Canis lupus familiaris: one gene and its partner. The protein of the gene in region 1 purifies or fractionates together with the protein of each later gene. This does not show direct contact. Links are inferred from orthologs where the notes say so. Each region holds a gene or a part of one and is shown in the gene's direction. Other genes may lie near its edges.

Region 1 (7,372 bases):
GAGACATAGGCAGAGGGAGAAAAGCAGGACCCTTGAGGGGAGCCCCATGTGGGACTGGATCCCAGGACCCGGGATCACGCCCTGAGCCGAAGGCAATTGCTCAACCACTGAGCCACCCAGGTACCCTGGATTTATTTAAATTAAAAAGAAAAAAAAGGGGAGAAATTTAATATCAAAAGTACAGTGGTGCAAAATTAGAATTTGGTTTTCTCTCTGTTCAAAGGACAAAGTTTTCTTAGTTATTGGTCTGCTCTTTTTTGTTTTTTGTTTTTCGGTCTGCACTTAATAAGAAATTGCAAACAAAGGTTTTTCTTTACCTTCAATGTAACCTGCCTAGAAAACAAAGATTCTGTGTTTTGTCTTTATCAGGTTTACTTAAGCAAACTTATGTAAAAAGCTAAGTTTTTTCAAATAGGTTTTTAAAATTTTATTTTTACATTTTTAAAAGATTTTATTTATTTATTCATGAGAGACACAGAGAGAGGCAGAGACACAGGCAGAGGGAGAAGCAGGCTCCTTGCAGGGAGCCCTACATGGGACTCAATCCCCAGTCCCCAGGATCACACCCTGGGCCAAAGGCAGGCACTTAACCGCTGAGCCACCCAGGGAATCCCACTCAAATAAGTTTTTAGTGTTATGTTAAATTTCACGGGATGCATTGTAAAATAAGAAGTGATGCTAAGCTTTCTTTAGGAGATATTTATATGGAAGTTATTAATGTAAACATTCCAGAAATTATATGAAATTCATGAGAATCTGATGTACTGACATAGTGTTATCAGCCATAATTCCGGTCATTGTCTTAAAATGCTGCATGTTGAAGAAATAACCAAATTTTCTTGTCAATTGCATTATAATGAATTCTCATCTGATCTTTAGCCATTGCCAGTTTTTAAGTCTTTTGTCATTCACAGGTAGTCATTGTTTTATTCTGATGCTTTTGCCAAAATGTTCCTGCAAAAGTGCTTTATCTTTGAGGAGATTCATGAAAAAGACCCTGACAAGCACCCTATGGATACAGGTCTCTGCTGACCTTAAGATCTTGACACTGAACTGGGTAAGAATTTCTAAAGCTTTCGTGGAAAAGTGATGAATTCATCAAAGAACAAAAGATCGAGATCAACAAGAATTAATTACAGGAGACCAAAGGAAGTAATGAAGATAATTAGAATTTTTTATAACTTCACTTAAAATATTGCTGGTTCGTTAATGTCTTGTTTGCAGATTTAAAAGGATCTGAAAGAGCATGATCCATCACTATTTTTGCTGCACTCAGAAATAATCAGGCCAAGTTTATTAAAAGTCAACTTAATTTGCAAAACAAATTAGTCTTGCCATGGTTGTCTTTGATGGAAATGATTATGGAGAGAAAATTATGTTTCAGTAACACACCCTTGTGGATTTTAGATTCTAGTGCCGTTGATCATCTGAGGTTTATTTTCTACCCGCAAACTGGAGTGGATCCTGAATTCTAACTTCCTCCAATATTTGGCTAAAACCCTGCAGCCTAGCATTTCCAATTTTCTCCCACTATTTTCACTTGGAATCACTCTGAGGCTAAGCCTGCCTTTTCCCCGAAACCATGCAGGCTGCAACTGGACAACTTGATAAAAACTTCAAAGAAATCACAGCAGCCCATGTGCGGCTCTTTGTGCCTGCAGCTGTGCAGCCACTCAGAGAGATCACCGGGGGGACACTGACACTGCGAACAGGACGATCTGATTGCCTGACCGCACTGTTTGTGCTCTGCCTAAAGATACTTAGAATCCGACTTTTAGAAATTTTCTCAACTGACCGCTCTGCAAACTCAGAAAATGGAATTTCTAATTTGCTTGAACTATTCATGTTTTTCTTTTGTTTCCATAGAAATGCCTCTCATTAAAATTACCCGGTTAGGGCGGCCTCGGTGGCTCAGCGGTTTAGCGTCTGCCCTTGGCCCAGGGCATGATCCTGGAGACCTGGGATCGAGTCCCACGTTGGGCTCCCTGCATGGAGCCTGCTTCTCCCTCTGCCTGTGTCTCTGCCTCTCCCTCTCTTTGTGTCTCATGAATAAATGAATAAAATCTTTAAAAAAAATAAAATTACCCGATTGCTCACATTGTATGGAAGCCTGATTCAGGTGGAAGCCCGCCTCCTGAAACACAACCTCAAGTTCATCCTTGGCCATCACGAGGTTACGTGTTTGCTGATACATCATGTTGTGCCTGTGTAAATAACCTTAAAAGTTCTTTTGTAGATCGACTTAGGTGAAACCTGAATCTGATTATAAGCCATTGGGATTTATTTGGTTGGTGAAACCTTGGCTCCCGGGTAGCTCTGCTCTGGGGAAGTTTTCAATCCTTGCCTGTTGTTTTCCCTATAATCATATTGACCTTTGTAGTGCATTACATATGACTGAACTAATGGAAACAGCAAGTGTGTGATCCTGCCGCCTGACTGCACCCAGCACGTCGAGGAGGAGGAGGATGCTACGAAGGCTGGTCATGCCCTGAGCCTGCTGAGAGAAGGGCCCAGACGTGGGGAGGGGCTGTTAAAATGAGAAACAAAGCGAGTCCCACCTTGCGGGGTCCCTGAGCAGAAAGACCCGGTTTGGTCACGCAGGCGAGGCTTGATTCGGCTTCGGCTGCCAGGCTTAGAGGACCTGGTCACTCCTTGCTCACGTGTCTGGAAATGAGAAGCAAACCTTGAACGCTTCCCAAAGTTGATAAAGGACTTGGTAACCACTGAAAATTGTAATTATTGTAAGTAATCAGTGCGAAGAATGAACAGTCGCAGCTTTGTCACTAACAGGGGCACCCTTGAGCCTCATTTCGGGCTGAGTGTCGGGGTCTGCCAACTTCTGGTGTGTGCACAGTAATTTTTCTTTTTATTCCCTGTTTTTCTTTTCTTGTTCCTTTCCTTTCCTTCTCTCTGTCTCTGTGTCTGCGTCTCTCTCTCTCTCTCTCTCTCTCTCTCTCTCTCGCTGCTGACTCACGGGTTTGAGTCTGGCTATTTGGAACCTCTGACAGCAGTCCCCACACGCCGTGCGGAATGACACGTCCGTCTTAGGCCTTCCCTGAACCGCCCGCCTGCACTCCTGGTTTTTCACACTTGAGCGTGCCCTGCAAGAGGAGGCCAAGCTAAGCCACCCGCAAGCAGCAGCGCCCCGCAGGGAGGACGGCGCCTCCCCCCGCCGTCGCCGCCGCCGCCCGGATCGCCCCGGTCGCGGCGGCAGGTCCCCCCGGGAGGCGAGCGGCGGCCGCGCGGGGCGGGGCCGAGCGGCGGGGCCCGGCACGTGACGGCGCGGCCGGGCTCCGCGGGGCGGGGGCGGGGGCGGGGGCGGGGCGGGGCGGGGGCGGGGCCGCCCGGGGCGCCGGGGCCAGGCCGACGTCTGCCCGGGGCCGGAGAGCGCGCAGCTCGGGCTCCGCCTCCGCGAGACCCTGAGCCCCGGGAGCCGGGGGTTTCGGTCGCGCTTGAAACTTTAGAGCTCGGGAACCGGAAAGGCGAGGGTAAGTCGCTCACCACCTAGAAAAATCAGCCTGGGACGAGTGACCTAGAAAAAGCACACGGCCACATTGTTGGCTTTTGAAGTCCGGTGCAGAAAATGATGGTAGATCGCTGCGAGGGGCAGAGGGCCCGTATCCGTGCCCCGAATTAGAGACCTCCCGAGCGGACATGTGCTTAATCCGGAGGGAATGGTGGGAAAAGGGCCCTGGTTAAATATAGAAGGACGCGAAAGCCGCCGTAATAAATAGCAAGTAGGTAACTCCTGGCTGCTTGCGAAACAACCTATTTCACATCTCTTTCGGCGGCCAGGAGGCCAGGCCATGTAAAAAATCGTGATTGAAACTCTCTCGAAAGTGAACCAGTGTATGAAACTGGAATACAAGCGCGACCAGTTTCTGCTCTTGTCCTTTCACATTTCAAAGCCGTGTCTATGGCTTGGCAGAAGAAAGTTGCATTGGGTTCACTGCTTACGTTTGAAATATGCCATTTCAAATGGACATGACCACTGTTGGAATTTTCTAAGGCTTTCTAGGGAAGGCTTTGAGTTGTGAATGGGAAATGTTGACATCGTGCGTGTTTTCTGTAATAGTAAGATGACTCACTTCTGCAGAATGTGATAAAAATTAAAAAGCGTGAAACAATGTTACAGAGTTATTATGAATTAACTCTTTCATGTCTCTGAGACATCAAATTCCTGGCCACAGCGTTAAAAAAAAAAACCACTGACACGAGTACAACCATGCTCATGCATTAGTGCTTTATTTTAAATAAATACAAGCAGTAGGACTATGTGGCATCCCTTTTTTTTACCTTTGGCAAATACAAGTTTAATAGTAGAAAGTAGCTGTTGAGAGTAAATAAAAGCATTATTCATCAGTGCGAATAGCCTAATGGTCCATAAGGAATATGCTTCAAATTACAGTATTTGGTATCTTTGCTACATGATTTGAAACCCTGAACCTCTATGCAGAGTATTTCCAGACACTTTATATTTTACCTGTCACTTGGATCTGCACAAAATATGTTTCTCCGTTGCATCTCATAAAGACTTTGAAAACTAAAACACCAAATTGTTCCCTTTCATTACTAATCCCTAACTCTTTTGAAATCCCATTACGTGCTCGGAGCCTGTAATCACTCGGATTTCGCCCTCTGTGCCGTTTGTTTCCCCGTAGTTGCTGAAAGCCTAGGCACGCCGCGCTCCTCAAGCGAGCTGCCCGGAAGGGGCGCGGGAGCGGGGCTCCCCGGCCGCTCGCTCCTCACCTCCCCGGACGTCCAGGGTCTTCCTCGCCCCCCACCCCCTCCCCGCCTCGCCCCGAGGGCGTCACGTGGCGGCGTGGGGCCCGCCCCCGGTGACGTCACCGCGCTCGCAGCCGTCGCGCCGAAGAAAGGATGCTCTAGGATGCCGTGCAGGTGGGCGGCGGGGATGCGCCATGCGGCACTGCAGGTAAGGGACGCGCGGCGCCCACGCTGCAGGCGCACCCCGGCCTGCAGGCCCGCAGCCCGTCGGCGCCCCAGAAAGCGAAAGTGGGGTCTTCGGCGGCTGCGGCTGCTGCAGGCACCAGGCGGGGGTGCGGGGCGGGGGTGTTGCAGGCCCACGCGTGACTTCGGGCTTGGCGTGCCCATCCGGGAAAGTGGGCAGGGGCCAGACGGGAAGACCGGGGCCTCTTGCCCCGGCGAGAAAAAAAAACCGGAATGATCCCCACACATGCATTATAAAGCGAGAAACGGGCTGGTCCAAGATAACTGTCAACTGCTTTCCAGCTGTCATTGTGCTTCCTAAATAATGCCACCTTTACCGATTCCCCCTTCAGGACGTTTGTCCTCAGTCTTTAGCCCGATTTCTTCTAAAGCAAGAGCTGCTTTGCTCTGAATGGAACGGGAACTTACTGGTTAGCAATTTAAAGAGCTAGATGTGCAGTGTAAGTCGTTTGGCGTTGTTTTGCAAGGTTCCAACCTTTAGAGGGGATGTGTCAGAAATGCATTTTCTCCCCCTCCAGGTGTCTTAAGTAGATGAGAAAATGACAGCATCCAATCCAATCAAATCCATAAAATAAAATGCAAGCCCCGAAGATTAACTGCGAGTGTAAGAGACAGCGGATCAGCTACATCTCTTAAGGACAAAATGGTTTTTAGAAGGGGGTGGGGTGGAGGCGAACACCCAAACGGAAGAATTCCCAGTGTTCTTTTTAATTCCCGTGCTGAATAGTTAGCTTGCTGAAGAAGGGGCTTGATGACTCAGCGGCAGATGGAGGGGGTCAGGTGACTTTTCAGTTCTGGCCGGACAGGGGGTGGGATTGTAATGGACTCTGTTAAGCATTCTAATCTGTTCACATTCCTTTCTCTGGTTCAAATAGGACCTGAGGCCAGGACACGGGTGGGCACCCTTGGGAGGAGAATGTGACGTTCTTTTCTGTAAAACGTGACCCCCCTGGAAGTTAGGGCATCAGTAAACTGTGCTGGAACACACACCATGAATAATTTGATTCCCCAGTAACTGTTGGAGGACAGTATTAAAAAGCAATGCTATTTTAGTTGATAATATAAGGAAGGGTTTTTATTCTTTACCCCCTGCAGTGGGCTTACTGTCAGGCAGCCCAGATAGCTTTGGTTCTAAGGAGGGGATTTATATACTTCTCTCTCTGCTTTCTTTTCTTTTTTAAAAATTTATTTAATTTATTTTATTTTAAATTTATTTTTATTTTTTCCTTTTATTATTATTTTTTTATTGGAGTTCATCTGCTTTATTTTCTAACTGATTTCCAATTAATTTCGGAGTAAGGCAAGGCTTATAAAAACGATGGAGAATTCTCTTCCAACTTAGAACTTTGTAAGATTGCCATCCAGAAGACATCAAGGAGAAGAGAGGATGTGAACCCTGTTTAGAGAAAAATGGGGCTAGAGATGGGGTGGGGGTGAAGTCAGCAAAGAAAAATGGGATGGGGATGGGGTGAAGTCAGAGACTTACCATTTGCTAAAATCAAAATAATGTTTCTGAGAAATTAATGCTATGTCAGAAAACGAGCTGGTAAGATATTGGGACGTAGTCTTGCATATACTTGGATCTAGAGAGCCAAATGTCAAAATCGTACCTCTGTCCATATCCTCGCCTATATATGTCCATACATTCGTGTCTGTATCTCTACAGCTGTGTCTTTGCTAGCATAGTCTTGTTTTTATGAATTCTGCTTATATAAGAAAATACCAGGCTATTTTCCAAGGTGGGTGTACCATTTTGCATTTCTGCCAGCAATGTATGAGAATTTCAGTTGCTGAGGATCCTTGCCAGCACCTTGGTTTTGTTTGTTTCTTTAATGTTAGCCCCGCTAGTAGGTACATAGGGGTTATCCCTTTGTGTTTTTTTTTTTTTTAGGTGACTGAGTCTTATTGTATATAAATGATTCCCTGCCAGCACTTCAGTATTGTCAGTTTTGTTAAAAAAAAAAATTAAACATTCTGGTAGGTAGTTATGGCATCTCATTGTGGTTTCTTTCTTCTTTATAAATTTTTAAATAATTTACTTATTTATGGTGCTTCGAGTCTGTTTCTCCCTGCTAGAAATAGAATAGGAAGTCCACGAAGCCTCGGGTTTGTGTGCTTATTGTGCGTTCCTCTATCTCCAGCTCTGGGCGTGGTACCGGGAATATTTAGTTACTGTTTAATAAATCAGTCGATGTTTAGTAATTGAGCAGGTCCTGAAGGCCTGGGGGAGCTACCCTGCTCACACCAGAGGGGGTTAAACCATCGCGGGGGCCTCTGCAGTTCCCGCTGGTGGAGGAGTCAGGGATGAACCGGATTTGCCAGCACGGTTTCAGGCTGAACTCATTCTCAAGGAGCTCGCTAGCAATTTTCATTACCTAGCTGGTAACTGATCTTCATTTTTCAT
Region 2 (6,512 bases), on another chromosome or scaffold:
GCAGCTGTGTGACCCGGTCGGAGACAGCACCGCCTGTCCTGCCCCCGCTCCCAGGACTGGGGAAAGGGTGGAGGGCCCGCCGCGGGGGTGGGCATTCCTGTCCTCGGTCCCCTTGTCCTCAGAGGGGCTTCGGCCCCGCCCAGGGCTGTCTCTGAACCAGAGCCTGTGCATCTGGGCCACCTTGACGGTGGTGTCCGCTCTGGCCTGTGCGCACCAGCTTTTGGGGCCTCCCAGGCCAGACAAGAGGAGGGCCTGGCTCGAAGTCCCCGATTCCCGGGGCCTCTGCAGGCGCGGGGTGCTCAGTCTGGCCCCGTGGAGAGATACCAGCTTGCTTCTTTGAGCAGCCAGCCGCCGCAGGAGCACCCAGCAGAGTGCTGGGACCGGAGAGACGCCGGCACCCCGCGCTCAGCCACCACATGGCTCGTCTCACGTGGCCTTGGTTTCCTTGTCTGCAGTGGAAGTGACGTTACCCCGTAAGCCCAAGCCTGCGGATGATCCACGTAAAGTTCTCAGCAGAGCCCCCGACACACGGTGACATCGTCACGCTGGCCTGGTCCCACGGGGCACTCCACCCGGGACCCCCACCGGGACCCAGGTGCCTCCCCCCTCCTGGCTGCCATCCTGCGTCCCTGCCGTCCCTGGAGACCCCGCCTCAGAGGGAAGGGGCAGGAACGGTGTGATTTCTCCCGCGCCTCCAGCTGCCGTCCCGCGGCAGAGCAGGCTAGGATGAGGCCCCACTCCGGGCTGCCTCTAGAACACACGTGGAAGCTTTAATACCTTTTAATCGGACTATTAGCAGTGGAAACACGGAGCCTCTCAGCAGCAGCTTTCCCCCACTTAGGAGCTGCTTGTTAAGACTTTACATGAAGGGGAAACAAATGATATGTGGTCCTGCGGTGAACTTCGGCGTGTTCCTTAATGCTCTGCTCTTGGCTTCCTCTGCCTTCCCCTCCTCAAAGTGCTCCCTGGAGCTGCCGAGCCGTCGGGAGACGCAGGGCTGAGGCTGGCGCGTCCCTCCAGGCCTGCCCCCGGGGCTCAGCCTGGCACTGCGGCTGGGCCGGCCGGGACCAGATGAGAGGCGGGGGGAGGACAAGGCCCTTCGGCCATGAAGCCAGGACAGCGCCAGGCCCGGGTGGGTCTTCAGTGCCCGCCGCGCCTACACGGCCGCCCGCCCCGAGGCCTGTCCTTGGCCCGCTGTAGCGCCCAGCTGGCGCAGCCGAGCCAGGAAGGAGCGGAATCGAAAGGTAGCGACATGGGGCCATGGTCGCTTCTCCGAGGCAGCTCCCTGCGGCAGCAGGCTGCCAGCTGTCTCCCCCTTTCTCCTGCCTGGTGGGCCCCACAGCTGGCCCCTGACGCGACTAATTGCTGCTGCGAGTCGAACGCTTGCCGCCGGCCCGGCGCTGCGGAAGGCTCTGCTCGGGTGTCTCGCTGAGAGGCCGCTCTTGCGGTCCCCGTCCTACGGCAGGGACGTAGGCTCAGACGAGCTAGCTTTGCCCAGGGTCACTTCCAGGAGGCGTTGGAGCCAAGGTGCGGAGCAGGTGCGTTTGACGCCCCGGTGCTCTGAACCGCGGAGCTGAACCACCAGGGAAGGAGGAGCCGGGGACGTTTCTCGAGCTCCTCGTCCGTGAAGGCCAGCGTGCGAGGAGCTTCACACGGGGCGCTTTGCTTCACCTCGCCACTCCCATCTCCTGAATCCCGAACCATGTTTTTCAAAGCGTGGGTCACCAGCCGTCAAGTCGTGAAATCAGTGTCGTGAGTCATGACTAGCGTTTTAAATACTTCCGCAGAGCAGGGGACATCAGCGGCCTCAGGCCAAGTGTCTTACACGACGGTTCTTTTATGTGTGTGCACGTGTCTGTGCACACGCACTGGGTCATCGGGTACTTGCAATTCCTGCCGACAGGACAGTCAAAACCATCTAAGACTGGCTTTATTCAGCTCACGTTTGCAGAAATAGCCACTTGTCCAGGGACCTAAAGCCGTTGGGTCCTAAGGCGGTGCCTCTGTCCCAGCTCCCAGCTGGGCTCCGAGCCGGATCCCCTGGGGGCCGTGGGTGGAGGATCAGAGGCCCCTCGGAGCCCAGGCCCGGAACCCAGGAGTCCTGACCTTGGGCTCGGTGCACTCCCTGCCTAACACTGCCCGCACCCGCCTCCCCGGTGTCGCCGCCGCCATCCCCAGCTGGGCGGACCGGGAAGCCGTCCTGGGGGGGTCCTGGCCCGGGGCTCCCCGGGAGGCAGTGGCCCTCATGAGACAGTGACTCAGAGCTCGCTGCAGCCCTGCCCTACCCCCCAGCCTCACCCCCAGCCGGCCACCTCTCTGTACCTGCCAGCTCGCTCTCCCCTACTCTCGCCTAACCGCCCCTCCCGGCTCCCCAGCCTGGCAGCTGCAGGGCGACAGAAGCTGTGCCAGCGCGGGGCATTAGAAGCAAAGTTGCATTTACTGGGCGGCTCTGGGCTTAGAGAGGTGCGCTAATCCCTTAAGAGATGTGTGGCAGGAGATGAGAGGCAGGGAGAGCGAGGGAGGAAATCCCCACGGGGGTGTGGGCCTGGCCCTCGGCTCTAATTCCCCCCAAAGATCAGGTTGGGGTCCCGCAGGAAATGCACGGGCTCCGGAGCTTCAGAGGCAGAGAGGTGGTAATTAGGGGAGCTGCTGCCTCCGACAACAGAAGCGGTTCCGCGGGCGGAGGGGAAGGGGCTCCGTGGGGCACACGGAGAATTGCTGAGCTACCCTCGCCTGTCCGCGGGCGGTGGGCCAGGCAGGCTCCGGGCCGGGAGTGCTGGGAGTGGACCCCGAGGTTCCATCCCTGCCCGACTCCCTTGGGGCAGAAGGGAGGGACATCCGTTCCTTCCCGGGGACAGTGGGCCCATGTTCCCCGCAGGCACACACTCACTCTGGGCCTTCCTGCTGTCCCTGGGCGGTGGCAGGCAGGGTGAAGGCGTTCCGGGGTGCCCTGGGGCGCACAGATGCCTTCCCTGAAGCCATGGACGGCGCCAGGGCCTCTGCGCTGACCCAGTGAGGTCCTGAGGCTGCAACTCAGTATTCATCCTGAGGGTCGGAAATAGGCCAGCGGGCTGCGGCCTCGTGGTCACTAGGGCCCCAGATGGCACTCCTCCCCCAGGCCCCACCCTACGCAGTCTCCGGATGCTGAGCAGCGCCCCCAGCCTCCCACATGGGGGAACTCAGCCTTGGGGTTTGCCCCAGGGCATCCTTTGTGTGTGGGGTTTCAGGCCCCCGCCCTGGCCCGCGGTGCTGACTCTTCTCCCCCTTTTCTCCCCCCTACAGGATGCTCGCTCTATGGCAGCCGCTGCCTCCCTTGGGGGCCCTCGAGCAAACACCGTCCTGGAGCGGGTGGAGGGCGCTCAGCAGCGGTGGAAGCTGCAGGTGCAGGAGCAGCGGAAGACCGTCTTCGATCGGCACAAGATGCTCAGCTAGACGGGCCGGGGAGCTTGGGCTCAAGGACCAGGGCCCACGGCTTCCAGCTCCTGGGGCTGCCCCCCCCCCCAGTACCGCCCCCCACCAGGACTTCTCTTGAGAAGCCCGAGGCCTTCTCCCTTTCCCTCTCCTTAGCTAGTTGAATCCGGGAAGAGTGGTAGGGTCCCTGCTCAAGGCTTTGGGCTCGAGGGGAGGGGGTGGCGACCCTGCGGGTGGCCTCGGGATTGAGGCAGTCTGCACCTCCTTCCTTCACCCTTCCCGCCTTCCGGCTCCAGATCTCGGGAGCGCTCTTCCCCTTGCCAGGTGCAGCTGGGTCACCGGGAGCTCCGTGCGCAGGAGGAAGGCAGTCAGCATGTGCTCCTCTTCTGCCGTAGCTCTTACGGCCGCCTTCCCCCCAGCGCAGCCTGGTTCCGGCCCCCAGGGTAGCTCTGATGGGACAGCTGATGCCACCGAGCTGCTCCCTGTGGTCGGGGCCCACCCGGGCGCTTGGCTCCCCGCCCCCTCCCCCACACTCTCCCACCAGCATGGGGCAGTGCCGCGCCCCTCGCTTCCTGCAGCACCTGGCCCCTCACTCCGGCCCCCAGGGCCAGGCCGTCCCCCGCCTCCCCGTGTCTGCCGCTGCTGAGCCGACACTTGGTGGGACCACGCGACTGAGAGGCTGAGCGGTGGCTCTGAGTTCCATGGCTCCTGTCCTGGGATTGCCACTCGCCTGATTTCATTGCACCGGTGCATGGAGAGAAACGTTTGTCCTCCTGTTGTCTGTAAACCAAGGAAGCCATCATTAAACTGTCTTATTTCTCCCACTTTCTAGACTTCAAGAGATCTAGAGAGCTTAGTGTTTCACTGCATCCCAGGGAGGGGACCGAGAACAACCCTAATAGGTCCGGCTGAGCAGCAGGGCCCAGACTGACCGGGTGGCTGTGGTAGGGCCCACAGGGGTGGGGGCCGGGGAGAGGGACGGGCTCCTCACAAGCTCTGTCCACTGGCCCCCGGGAATGACCCTGAGATCTTGTGCTTCATCTTTGTGGGAGACTCTGAACGGTGCCCAGTGTCAGCATCTTCACAGATAAAGTAAAAAGTGCTCACTGCAAAACCCGAAAGTTTTCCCTAACGAAAACCCGCGGCTACTCAGAGGGCTGGGGCAGCAGGGAGACGCAGGTGTGTGCGCCGCCACGGGCCATGCCCTCCACCCTGTCCCAGCACATGCCCAGAGGGACCAGCTGGAGCGAATTGAAGTTGCTGCCCCCTGGGGTTGTGCGAGCAAACTGGTGTTAAGCAGCCTGTGTGGAGCCCCTGCTGGGTTCTCAGTGAGAGGTGGGGGCCGGGAGGACAACGGGAGGAGGTGGGCATTTCCGTTGCCCCAGTTCAAAGCCCAGTTCTAAAGGGGACGGGGGTGGGGGGGTTGACGTGCAGATGGGGTTCCGGAGAAGTACTGCGGAGACTTGGGAGTCGGCCTCGGAAGCAAGCAAGGGACACAGCTGGGAAGGGCCCAGAACGATTCTGGGATCCTGCGCAGAAGGGCCGGGCCAGTGTGAACGTTTATGGGGGGTTGGCAGGTGCTACGTGTGCCACGGATGGAGTCCGGGTGGAGGAGCCGGCCTGGCAGCTGTGCGTCTGCCCCCTTCGCTTGCCTGGTGGTGCCCGCTCGGCAATTCGGTTGTAATTCTTTCACAGCGGGGATGCTCTTGCTTCAGGAGGCGCACAGGGCCGTCTGGTGGCTCAGTCGGCTAAGTGGCTGCCTTCGGCTCAGGTCGTGACATCGTGGTCTTGGGATCGAGCCTCCGAGGGCCCCACACCGGGGTGCCTGCTCAACGGGGAGTCTGCTGCTCCCACCCCCACCCCCCCACCCCCCCCATGCACACCCATGCTCTGTCTCTCTCTCAAATACAATCTTTAAAATAATGATTTTTTTTTAAAGGCAGGCAAAATTGGGTCTTTTCAAAGGTGGGCAGACGGGTGTGTCATTGAGAACAAACCAGTCCACAAATTGGTGCCTGACGCTGCTGGGTCACCACTAAACCACGCCAACTGGAGGAAACCTTGCGCACTCGCGCCTGAGTCTTGGTTAAGCCCCACAGATGACCCACCCAGTCCTTGGTGGTTTTAAAGATCTGATACGAAGCAAGCAGCTGTCCTCAGAAGTAAGCCAAGTATATGAAGATAAATTAATGTAAAAACTCAGGGTGACCGTTCACTCTACCTAAGAATTCAAGTAGTAGCCAAACAGCTACACAAAATCGATTTTTAGACGACTATTCCGGGGTGTACGTCACCTGCGGATGACGAGAGAACAGGGAGCCCAGCAGAGGGAGACATGGTGCAGGGATGAAGGCCTGCACGGCCCGGGATGGAGAAGATGAGAAGCTACTCCATCCCGTCCCCCTGGGGAGACCTGAACGTCCGTGGGCTCAGGAGCCCTGTGTCCCCCGTCTAACCCACCAGACGTGCTGTTCTGTGATGGGTCGGACCCGCCTGCAAGACACCGTTGGGCTGGGCCCTGGGACTCGAGCCTCAGAGCTGGTCACCGCCGCTTGAGGCTAGCACCCGTGCCCGTGTGGCTCAAAGGGAAGTGGCGCAGGGAAAGGACCGGGAGAGGCCATGGAGTCTCCACGCCTCCCTCGGACCCACTCCCTCTCGCACGTGCTCTTGTTCCCTCGCGTCCTCCCTACGGCTCACCAGCAAGCCCCCAGCCGTCCTGGGCAGCTCTGCTCTCCTAGGAGGGACTAGAGGTTTGCAGTTTCCACCCCATCTCCTCCCTCCCTGTAGGGGTGGGGGTGCCATCCTTGTGCCTCGCTCTTTCTGGAGGTCACTAGGCAACCTTCCTCTATTTGCCCTCCCCACCCCCACCCCCCAAACCCTACCAAATCTTACCTTCCTACTTCAAGAAAATCAAGGCGGGTAGATGTGATCTCCAAGCTTGCTTATCTGCCTCTGTGCGTTTTTCTTCCTACTTCTCTTGGCCTCCTTGCTGTGCTCTGGGGTTAGTGCATCCCCCCTGTTCTAAGCCAACTCACCCACCCCCTTCTTCCTGGGACCTCTAGGGTCTCCCAGCCTCGCCCTGTCCCCTGGTCCTTCTCAGC

The links.
Region 2: the proteins of CLCN4 (region 1) and TMEM9 purify together in Homo sapiens (co-immunoprecipitation; 3 studies listed by BioGRID and IntAct, with this or other methods). This does not show direct contact. The link is inferred for Canis lupus familiaris from reciprocal best matches to the Homo sapiens genes CLCN4 and TMEM9.

Annotation. Positions count from the first base shown.
Region 1 is NC_049260.1:6,812,535-6,819,906, forward strand, and holds the start of CLCN4 (H(+)/Cl(-) exchange transporter 4), read left to right. Parts: upstream 1-3,339; 5' UTR 3,340-3,488; intron 3,489-4,661; 5' UTR 4,662-4,919; coding exon 4,920-4,933; intron 4,934-7,372. UniProt on the Homo sapiens protein: Strongly outwardly rectifying, electrogenic H(+)/Cl(-)exchanger which mediates the exchange of chloride ions against protons.
Region 2 is NC_049228.1:1,846,089-1,852,600, forward strand, and holds the end of TMEM9 (proton-transporting V-type ATPase complex assembly regulator TMEM9), read left to right. Parts: intron 1-3,282; coding exon 3,283-3,432; 3' UTR 3,433-4,250; downstream 4,251-6,512. UniProt on the Homo sapiens protein: Transmembrane protein that binds to and facilitates the assembly of lysosomal proton-transporting V-type ATPase (v-ATPase), resulting in enhanced lysosomal acidification and trafficking.